Caenorhabditis elegans: one gene and its partner. The protein of the gene in region 1 purifies or fractionates together with the protein of each later gene. This does not show direct contact. Each region holds a gene or a part of one and is shown on either strand. Other genes may lie near its edges.

Region 1 (4,874 bases):
CGGCAGAGCTTCGCAAGCTCCGCCTACTGCGCACTAGGGGCCAATGGGTGGGCACACAGTAGGAAAAACATTGAGGGGAGAGTAGCTAAAAAGGAATCTGGCGACGGGCCGATTTGACTGCGGCTCCGGCTTTACTGATGTTGGAGTAACGATGAAGCACAGATAAAAGCATAGACAAAGTTTTGGTTTGGCGGGGAGAAAACCCAGCCAAAAACATGTGATGAACTAGGGGGTGCTTCAATTTTTCAACTCGGTGAAGTTGGGCTCGAAAGATAATTATTTCTCGTGCTTCTCCCATTGCGATCTCATTTAAAACGCTACCGACTTTTTTTTTTAAGCAGATGAAAATTATATATTTTTCATGTTTTATGAACATAGTAAATATTTTGTTCTGTTACGTAATCTTGGCTAAGAGGTTCCCAAAAATCAAATATATATATATATATATATATATATATATATATATATATATATATATATATGCTTATTGAATGTATTTTCGTTCCGTAATAAAACTGTAATTTATTTTAGAAAAAACATCTTAACCATATTTTGATACTTGTGTAAAATTTGATAATGACCAACCCTGTACTATTTTTATTTTTAGGCCTAAAAATTATAATTCGATATGCAAACGAAATATTGTTTTCAAAGTTCAGATCCGCCATGAAACATTTTCAAAAAGTGTACAAAAAATCTCATTACGAAAATGGGTTTAATTTTTTAATTTAATTTAAAACGAAAATGGGTTATCTGAAATTCCTAAAAAAAACCCTTAAAAATATTTTTTGGGATAATGCTATTTTGTTATTGTATAGCTGCTATTATGAAAAATTTTTATATTTCAATTCCCTTTAGATTTCGTGATCTAGACAGTAATGTTATTTTCTGAGTTTTTGATAAATGTTTTGAACGAACATTTTTACGAACATAACAATTAATAAAATCTACTTTTCGAGTAGCTAACATAAAATGCAATTATCTCTTTAATGAAATGAAACAGACTTCATGTTATGTTTAATAATTGATTATTGGAAATTGTAATATTTGTTGTATAAATGTTCAGAAGACGATTCCTTGTCTTTGCTCCTTTGCTCCTACGCCTTCACCCATTTCAGAAAAAAAAAACTCAACACAAAAAGTGAAGCATTCTACTATCTTTCCCAAACATGGTGATATGTGGTGTGCTCGTGGGCTCCTCACTTCACTCTGTCATATATGTAAATGGTTTGAAATCCGACAAGACAGCTGCGAACTCGTATAACTGGTATGTGTGTTTGTGTGTGGGTTTGTGAGTGCTCTGCCCCGTTTTCGAAATATGCAAATATTTCTGGACTAGCAATAAGAGATATATAACCGAAACGCGCGAAACGGAGATGGCCTCTCTCTGTCCACTTGTTTCCAGTTATCAGTTTGTAGCCATCTACGCAATTTGTAACATCTCAATAGCCCAAATCTCATCATTCACCATGTACGGGATTCTAGATTCGGAAGGAATTGAGAAATTTATGTAAAAACAAAATGCTCAAATCCAAGCAGAAAAATGAAAGAAATATGGATTACAAAAACGTTTGGGAACAACAAGATGATGTACTTTTTGAATTATTTCTAAAAGTTCATCTTCAACATCAGCACCTGAATCATAACAACGTATGACGCTATAGAAATGACGTTATACTTACTAAGTTAATTGTTAATTTAAGTGTTTCAAACATAATTCTAGACTTACTAAACTCATCGCCAATAAAGCTCAAGAATGTATCGCAAGCCATGAACACCTTACAATTTCCCCTTTGGGAATGAAATCCCGCTAACGTCATCAAAAAAAAAGGAGTTGGGTCTCTTCTATTTCAAAAGTGTCGTCCTAGAAGTTCTATCTTACCTTTGAAGGTCCGCAAAGACACCAGAATTGCTGAAAAGCAAGGATTCCAAGGTTTGAGTATTCATCAGATAATAATATTAACGCTCACCAAGCAATACTAATAAGAGTGGCTGTTATGGACAAAAAAGAAGGATGATAGTGGCTATCAATTCCGAGGGTGGGTTGTTAGGCAACGAGCCCGAGTACGGCTAATTGAAGCAAAGTCAAAAGAGAATATACAACTGTTGAGTTTGAGGATAGACGGAAAATATTATGAGCGAAGAGATATTTAGCTTGTGATAGCTAGTATACAGCTATTGTCATAGATTCGTTAGAATGACTAAAACTTTAGCCAATAGTGCATTGAGAATGAGGAGGCTTTCAAACATAATAATGAGGTATGAATCACCTTAAAGATACACATTTTGGTATTCAGGAATATGGTATCAAAATGTTTTTAGAAAATAGACAGGTTTAGAAAAGATGCTTACAAGGTGTATTTTTGTGATTTAGGGGGCTCATTCCTAGTTAAGAAATAGTTGTATATCTATGTAGTTGTATATTATAATTTCCAGATTATTTAACCCATTGAATGATATGTTTAGTATGAAGTATGCTTGGAAATAATATTAACCTAAGCTCAAAAATTGAACAAATTTCTTTGTAATGGTTATTAATGAATAACCTAGATATGATGGCATATAATACACAAACACCTAATCCTACAGGGTGGTCCATAATTATGGACTTGTTTTTGAAATTGTGTACCAAACGTAATAAATTTGAATTAACTTCTAGTAGAACCTCTTCGACTTTTACTAAGACAAATTTAATTAAGGAGTTACGTCTGAACGGTATCAAACCCAAAAATAAATAAATTTTATTTTAACAACTTCCAGTATTCCGGAGCCTCAGATCAGTACAGCTCCCATACCAGATTCTCTTTATTTATTTATTAAGATTCTGCTCAATTTTCCAGCATCAAGTTTTTCAAGGCAGCCTAAAAAGCCATGTAAAACAACTTACGGTTGAATGTGAAGATTTAATACAGGATTATAAGGTTCATCATAGAAGTTCATCTGGCCAGCTCTTAGCGGAGCTGTCAAACTCATGCCACAGTTTTCGGATCAAGTGGGAGGCAACAACACCAGCTACACAACCGACTCTGCAAAAGATTAATCTCTTATATGTCACAAGCGGTTTGGGTCCGACGGCCTCCCGTCCAAGTACGCCTGATAGATGCAACAAGGAGAGGAATAACGGAGCGAGTGTGAGGATTGAGCCAGCTGACTGTGAATTATGGTTATGGAGATATGCCTGATTAGCCGGAAGGCACGGCGCGAAACTTTGAAAATCTCTACAGCAAAAAAATGGGGGGGCAGCTGGGGGAAGATTGTTCGCACCCCTTTCACGTTCAAGCCTGGTGTGGTGGCTCACCAAAAATATTACAGAAAATAGTTGTATGACACACAGAAAAGTCAAGTGAAGGATTTCATCAATCATCCTAGAAAGCATAGCATACCACGCCTTGGTCCTCTTTTGTGCATACTTCTTCACAATCTTCAACAATTGAGACGTGAGAGGTCAGACAGACAACACTGAAGAAGGCAACACAAAAAAAACGGAAGAAGCACAAAAAAATAAAGAGATGGGAGAGGATGAGAGGATAGCGAAGAAAATTGATGGAGATTCGTGTGTCCTATTGCAGATTACGGTATCTGGAATCAAGAATGTAGAGTGTTTGGCTATTTGTGACCATCTTCTTTTAGGAACAAGCCAGGAGCCAGCATTTGAAGTCGTGCAAGTGAAGTGTAATATTGCTCATAGTTATCAACTTGGCGAAGTTATCACAATTGCTTTGATAAAACATTTATATACACAGAATATTGTTCTCAAGTCGGTATTTTTCTTTTCACTAAAGCAACGATGTTTCAGATCTACCGTAGTTGCTAAGATGTTTCCAGGTGTGAGTGAGTGCGCAAAGTTCGTTTTCAGGGATGCTGGAATTATCAAAAATATTTATCATGGTGTTGAATTGAAGCTGAAATATTATTATATAAGTTGTGTTATATTGGGTTTTATTTTATTTGTAGTTTCGGAACGCGAGGTCTTGTAGCCACTTGAATGCATAAGGTTTTTCTGCAATTAAAGTAGGTATTCAGTTGTGTTGTTCCAACTTCAAAAAAAAGTTGCACTGTTGTAAACTGGACCCCATAATTATGAACCACCCCGTTTGTATAAAGAATATTGTTTATGCACGTGGTGCCAGGCTGTCCCATCACGGTTTGATCTACAAAAAATGCGGGAATTTTTCTCCCAAAAAAAAATGTGACGTCAGCACATTTTTAACCATGAGAAATCAGTTGAGAACTCTGCGTCTCTTCTCCCGCATTTTTTGTAGATCTACGCAGATCAAACCGAAATAAGACACTCTGACACCACGTGTTTGTACAGTTTTCCAGTATTTGCAGTTTGTAATACAAATATTAAATACAATAACATAGCTTTAGATTTGTTGCATTCATTTGAAATTTTTTCTGATAATGGTGGGGAAATTAATTCTTCCCTTTTAAAAATGCTTGACAGAAATATTTTAATACACAGCTTCAATCGGCAGACTAAACTTAAAGAGCAGGTTTACGACAGCGTTGTTTTTTTTTTCTCGTCCTTCTATTTTTCGACATCGGAACGTCTTGTACCATCCAGCACTTATTTCACAATGTCAACTCACTTTACATATCAACGCTCACGAAACAAAATTTTACGACTGAAACGCTGAAACGACTGAACTGTGTGCTTGTAAAATTTCCTTTCATTATTCTATAAAAGCGATGCTCGGGCACTGATAGTGATTGCCATCATCATTTGTGCAATACGAATGGCGGCGCATCAAATTTTACTCCTTTGTTTGTTACTACTATTAGCGCCGTTGCGGAATGGACAAACCACGCCGACCACGAGAGCCCAGGCCGATTTGGTTAATCAACTGCCAGGGACTATTTTTCAGGTAATA
Region 2 (6,311 bases), 6.2 Mb from region 1:
AAATGTTTTCGAAAAATTAAATTTTGAATTCCCGCCAAAATATTTTCAAAAAATTAAAATTTTAAATTCCCGCCAAAATGATTTCTCAGAAAATTTGAATTTCCCGCCAATTTGTGATGACGTCACAAAAGGGGCGGGGCTATAGGACCCCTCTTAGGTGATTGAGACTACAAACTACAGAGTTCAAAGACCAAAGATCAAAGATCAAACTACATAGGGACAGAAGGACACGCGCTTTATATATAGTAAATGATTTAATTTTCAATATTTTTAACATTCTTTGAATAACATTCTTTGATAAAATACACCGATAATTGCAGAGATAGCGAGAGCGAGGAGTGTGATGGATAAACGTGAGAAGTCAGGGACCATTTGATGGAAAGAATCATAATTAAGGGGCGAGGTACGTTTTTCTTCGAAAGAAATTAGGGATGTAATTGAGATAGAAAGGCTTGAGTTGGAAATTTTGAAAGTTGATTTCGGGAAAACAAATGCTAAAAATGAAAATTGAAAAAAAATACAGAAAAACAGCATTTAAACGCTGTAAAAAACTAATAGAACATCATAAAAGAACGTTAAAATTTGAGGAAAAATCCTAGAAAACATATTAGAAGGCACCATTGTTGGATAAATATTTAATTAGGAACGTAGGCATCAAAAATATTAACCAATGTTTCTAATGAAAAGAACCATGTGTACTTGAGGAACCTGTCCTTTTTGTATTCGTTTCTGTAAAACACACTGTTCATTGATGATTCATTGATCCTGAATAAAACTCACGCTACATGACAATGAGAGCAGAAGGGGTACGAATCTACTGATAAGTCCTCTGTGGTGTACCATCTGACAATGTTGAAGATTTCAGATGTACAGTATTTACATCGTTGAACGCGATCAGCAAGCTTCCATTCGCTAGCGTCTCCAACAATGTAGTCATGATGATCAATAAGATCAAAGTACCACTTTGAATGGGCAAGTGATCTGAAATTAGATTGAGCATTGTTTAGAAAATAGCAAATTTTTATTATCATATGTACTAACCTGATCATGACACCGCGCATGGCTTTATACATCTCGGGATCGTCGACGAAAAGCCTCTGACGTGCAGCATTCCAAACGAGATTTACCAATGGAACATGCGCCTGGTTCCCAATGAGCATATTGTGATCGTGAGCCACTATTGAGGTAGCCAGCTGAGTGAAGTTTGGCTGTCCGACATTCCAAGATACATTGATGCAGAAGCTATTGCTCTGCACCCAATGGAAACATCCAGTATTGACATATACCATCTCGTCAGCTTTTTGCTCGAATTTAATTACAGGAACTCCCAGCTCCAGTAATTCCTTTTCGCTTGGCCAATAGTCTTGATCCTGGTACTTGTGCCCGTGCTCTCCAATCATAAACTCCAGCTGCCCCCAATACTCGTACGGCACAGCAAACCAGACGCACGTTCCCGGACCGCGGTTCCAGTTGATGCTAGCCATGAGTGAGTTTTCCATGTGTGCTGGAGTGCGTGATCCGATTGGTTTCGCGTACATCTGTACAGTATTGATGCCGAGAACGTCTACTCCTGCGTAGTTGAGCAAGTTTCCTTCACGGTTTGGTAGCAGGAACGTCGGCAGCTTTTCGATTTCCTGTAAGAACATAGAGAATTAGATAAATTATTTTGAAAAATGTAGAATATCACTAACATTCATCTGCTTCTTGAAATTTTCGGAAAGCAAGTCGATATTTGTTCCAAACTTGATCCAAGGCATTGTTTCATCACAGCCCTCAATTGCGTTTTGAGCTGCAATTCTCTCAGCTTTCAATTTCTGGCATGTGCTCTCTAATTCTTTTGCTGTGCAGTTTGAAATCGTTTCGAAAGCTTAAAAACAAAGATTAAAAATCTTATGTTCAAAAGTCAATATTACCTTGCATTGCTTCAGACTCCTCCTTCTGCATGTACCTCTCGAAATCTTGCAGCTTCATCTTAGAAGAGTACGATGTAACATCCCAACAACGAATTCCTTTACTATCACAGTTTCCATCGGCACTTTGTGGTACTTGGTTAAGAATATCAATGGATAATTCAGGATGACACTTTGCAATTTCTGGCAGTGAAAACAGTTCAGTCTTGATGTTCAGAGCCTTTGCGATTCCGCTAATGTTGGTGATGCTCGCTGAGTTCAAAATGCGCTCAAAATCCGACGAGAATACTTCTTCTTTGGTGGTGACTGTGAGAGTTGGACATGGTATGCGGTATTTGTGATAGTCAGTAAGATCTTTGACTTGCTCGTGATACATCGCTCTTTCCAGATCCAAAAGTGTCTTATCGGCAACCGGAGGCTGTAGTCGTTCATCTTTGTAAACGGCGTTGACATGAAATTCGAGTAATTGACCTGCCGCTTCGAGGACTTCTTGTGATGTACAATAGAAGTTGAGATATAATGGTCCAGTTAGCAAAAGGGCTGGTGGATTGGCAGGAACTTCACTTTTTCGTTTTCCTTCTCTTCGCTTTGGCGGTACTACTACACGAATGGTAAGATCTTTCAAATAATCCTGACAATGTCGATAGTTTCCTTGATCCGGGAAAATTGTATTCAGCTGAATGGCAGCACGCATGTAGTGAGAATCTTGGGTTTTCTGAAATATTAGTTTTTGGTTTTTTAACAATAATTTTCAATGCGGACTGACTTGAAATTGAAGAATGAATTTGTCAACTCTGTCTTGCCTTGATTTCGACAGTTTTACTATTTTATCATTCTTTTTAGACATGAAGTCACGAACAAATATCAACTGCTGAGCCATAGTCCAAGCCCCAGAAGCATCACGAAATTCAATTTGATAATTAATCGTCCGTCTTTTTGGTGGTCCATCATCTTCCTCATCGTCAGATTGGTTCTTTTTCATGCGGCGTTTTCGGATCTGTAAATTATGCATTAAACTGAGAATAGATTAGTTATGAAATTTACCGTATTTGGGTTTTTAGTATATGCTCTTTTCGTCCTGGGTATAGGGGGTTCGGTTGCAGATTGTTCCTTCTTCTTTCGACCACGCTTTTTTATTGGTGTAGGCTCCCTTGTTGCATCAGAAGAGCATGAAGGAGCGGAAGAGTCCAATCCAATGTCAATCGACGTGCGGGGGCAATAATCATCTACACTTCCTGCATTAGATTCCGTTTGATTAGCCACAGAGGTTGTTTCTGTAAATTCGCTTGAAGTAGAAGCAGGTTGATAATCAAGCGATTCGTTTTTAGGACTCCATGATTTTTGGTCATCGTCAGAAATTTCTGAATCTCCAGAAGTTGTCCCAATCGAACTTCCGACACTGTTGGTATGCTGCACAGGCACAGGTTTCAACGTCGTTTCTGAAAAAAATATTATCGTTCAGAAATTAATAACTGGTAACTGTTGCTCTCACCATTGTCACTGAGTGATTTCTCAGTTTTCTCCGAGATCAGTTTTTCAAGATGCTGATTGTTGCCAATTTGTTCAGTCATATCAGAGAGCTTGTCGTTTGAACCACTGCCAATGAGAACATCAGGCGTTTCGACTTTTTCCAAATTTTTTGGTTTTGAAACTACATTGCTGTCTGTAAATGTTCCCAGTAAGTATTAGAATGTTTCCAAATTAGTTTAACTATGTATTTTGTTTCAATTTTTCAAAAGCTATCAAAATCATAGTTACATCAAAGAATGAAAAAAATATTTTATACTTAAACAATCTACTAACCATTCATAATCACATCGCCCGAAATGATTTCTTCAGAATCCGTAGAAACGTGTACTGTCGGGAGAACAACGTCTTCAATGTTGCACTCAGTTTCACTATTGATCAAATCTTTAAAATCTTCACTCTCATTTCCTTGTTCTGAATGGGCCTCTGGGCATGCTTCGAAAACGCCATTGGATTCTTGGAGCTGATCAGCAAAGTTATCAAATCCTGCAATTCGTATAGCCTCGTTGGTAGATCTGCAATTCTGGTCAGTAGAACTCTTTGGAGATACTGTCAACGATTCAATGGGAAGATTTTTCTGAACATCTACAACCAGCTCATCCTTGAAACTATCGTTTTTGAGTGGATTCAACACAGTATCAGAATACACGCCAAGGGTTTGATTTTTAAAATCAAAGCTTTTAGGAGCATCTTGCTCTTGATCAATAGTCTGAGCTTCCGGTTGCTTGGTCGAGTTGAATTCTACTGGCCTCATGGTGGAGTTCATTCCGGGAAATGGTGGAGTTTCCTGTGAGTTTTTAACCAATGACATACTTCTTGGGCTTGCTCCGAAAATAGTAACTAAACATAAGTAGTATAAGATGAGGTAGCAAAAATTGAAAAGAGGAATGCTGCCCGCGTTTTTAGGTGTATAAATTTGCGGAAACGTGCACTCGTGCTTAATTAATTAGATACCTTGCTTGTTAATCTTTAAATATCAAAGTCATATCCGTATTAAAATATGACTAATGTAATTGAATCTTATGTAGAACTTTCGCATGAATGCACTAATCTTTTCAGTTCGACTTTTGGTCGCCAACTGGTCACTATAGCAAAAATGCAAAGTAACTCACAATGTGTAGTTCCAGTTATTCCAGTCAAGTGTGAATTTTTCCCTTGCATACGATGGTAAATGCTGGGGAACAAACTGTAAATATGAGTTTATAGGTGGGTAGGTAGATCCAAGAAGCGATTATTGAAAAAAAAAGAAAACAGTTCGGACAAAAAATTTGTAAGAATTTAATTAGGCACGTGAGAAAGCCGAAGTTCTAGTTAGGCACTTCAATGATAATGACGTAGATAATTAAGATGTAACTGAAAAGGTGCCAATCTAAAATAAGGGTTTAAGTTTACTCAAATACACATGTATAAACCAGGTCAAATCCATTTATTGAATCAAGTTAATCATGAGGAGATAAGCAGGAAACACGATGCGTAGGTGAGAACATTGCCAGGCTCTGAATAATTTTTTAAAGCTTGAGTTGAAGTGATAAAAGCAGATCGAAAAAGCAAACATTTTAGTTTGATTAAATCTCAAATTTAGAATCCCATCAAACTATTAATAGAGAGTACGTGCACATTTGTAGACATTCCCGGATCTTTACATAACTTAAAGTACATATATCTGCCCTTTTCATGAACTTTGGCATTATCTATGCATTCACAGTATTATTGGTTAATCCAGCTGCCATTTCATTTTTGTCTAGGGTTAATTTTAGAAAAGAAACACAACTAGAATACAAAATACAACAAAATAGTAAACTAGCATTTACAGTAGTTTTGTTTACTGCCCATCCCACGATGTCAATGAATGAAGTATGGACGAACGACGTCAAACGAGGAGGTAGAAAAGATAGCGTGGTTTTTTTTTCGTTTTGTTTTTGTTGTTGACGGGGCATACACTGACTAGCTATAGATGGCTGTGCGTTGTGCACACGCACGTAAATAAATATCAAACGAGGAACGGCGCTCGAGGAAAAATAAAGAACGAGACGTTGCTTCTCTGCTTGCTTGTTGGTTAGATATATTGAGACTAGCCACGTGTGAAAAGAACGCAACACGGCCGAACACGCAATCTATTTGGCTCCAGTCGAGTAAATAACTAAGCTCGTGAGAAGAAAGAGTGAAGGGACTAATAAGATGTGGCCTGCCCAATATTTAATGTATATGTCATGTTGTCATTGCAATACATTCACAAATCTACTTTTGAACATTAATTAGACAATAAAACTGAAATTTGCTAGGTTCTTTTGAATCAAAAATAAAACAATTTGAAACAACACGTGTGTGAAATTGAAAAAAGTACACCGCTTTTTTGGTCTAACATATGAAACTAAGTAGCTTCTTTTAGTGTACAACATATACGTTTTTGATCAAACTAATCAAGATAAAAATAGTTAAGATTAATTATTTTCGCAACATAGTACGTTTTCCTACTTTCTCCTACTAGTTTGCTCAAAGCTATTTTCAACATGGCATGGAGAATTTCAATGATTTGCTTTACTTTATGAAATTATCTGCATAAAAGTATGCGATATACGGTATTGTAAACGTAGCCAAAAATTGAATGCCTATCATTAAATTGTGCGACTCATTCTTTGGCGCGGTGCGCAAAACAAACGGGGTGATAAAATATATTAGCTCATAAAGCAGTGAATTTTTACCGTCCCTTTTCATTGGTTGGCCTATTTGATGTTTGATTCAAAAAAATGGGAAGAAAAACGGATGAACGCAATAAATTGCAACGGGCTAGCAGAAGGCGGTTGTATGTGTGAGTGTGTGTGTGTGTGTGTGGCCTGCTTCCATCGACCGAGTTGACCGCCATTGTGGACGAGT

What was found.
Region 2: the proteins of unc-3 (region 1) and jmjd-3.1 purify together in Caenorhabditis elegans (affinity purification with western blotting, with the first as the bait; one study listed by BioGRID). This does not show direct contact.

Annotation. Positions count from the first base shown.
Region 1 is NC_003284.9:14,771,690-14,776,563, reverse strand, and holds the start of unc-3 (Transcription factor unc-3), read right to left. Parts: upstream 3,027-4,874; 5' UTR 2,974-3,026; coding exon 2,888-2,973; intron 1-2,887. Other genes in the region: Y16B4A.2 (Carboxypeptidase), read left to right, coding at 4,740-4,868. UniProt on the Caenorhabditis elegans protein: Transcription factor. Involved in motor neuron fate determination and maintenance, acting as an activator of gene expression in a subset of motor neurons. May act in concert with GFI1 homolog pag-3 in motor neuron fate determination.
Region 2 is NC_003284.9:8,569,361-8,575,671, reverse strand, and holds jmjd-3.1 (Lysine-specific demethylase jmjd-3.1), read right to left. Parts: upstream 4,624-6,311; 5' UTR 4,599-4,623; coding exon 4,550-4,598; intron 4,278-4,549; coding exon 3,714-4,277; intron 3,574-3,713; coding exon 3,403-3,573; intron 3,350-3,402; coding exon 2,955-3,349; intron 2,908-2,954; coding exon 2,677-2,907; intron 2,626-2,676; coding exon 1,914-2,625; intron 1,868-1,913; coding exon 1,692-1,867; intron 1,635-1,691; coding exon 1,042-1,634; intron 982-1,041; coding exon 781-981; intron 730-780; coding exon 636-729; downstream 1-635. UniProt on the Caenorhabditis elegans protein: Histone demethylase that specifically demethylates trimethylated 'Lys-27' of histone H3, a mark associated with transcriptional repression, thereby playing a central role in the histone code.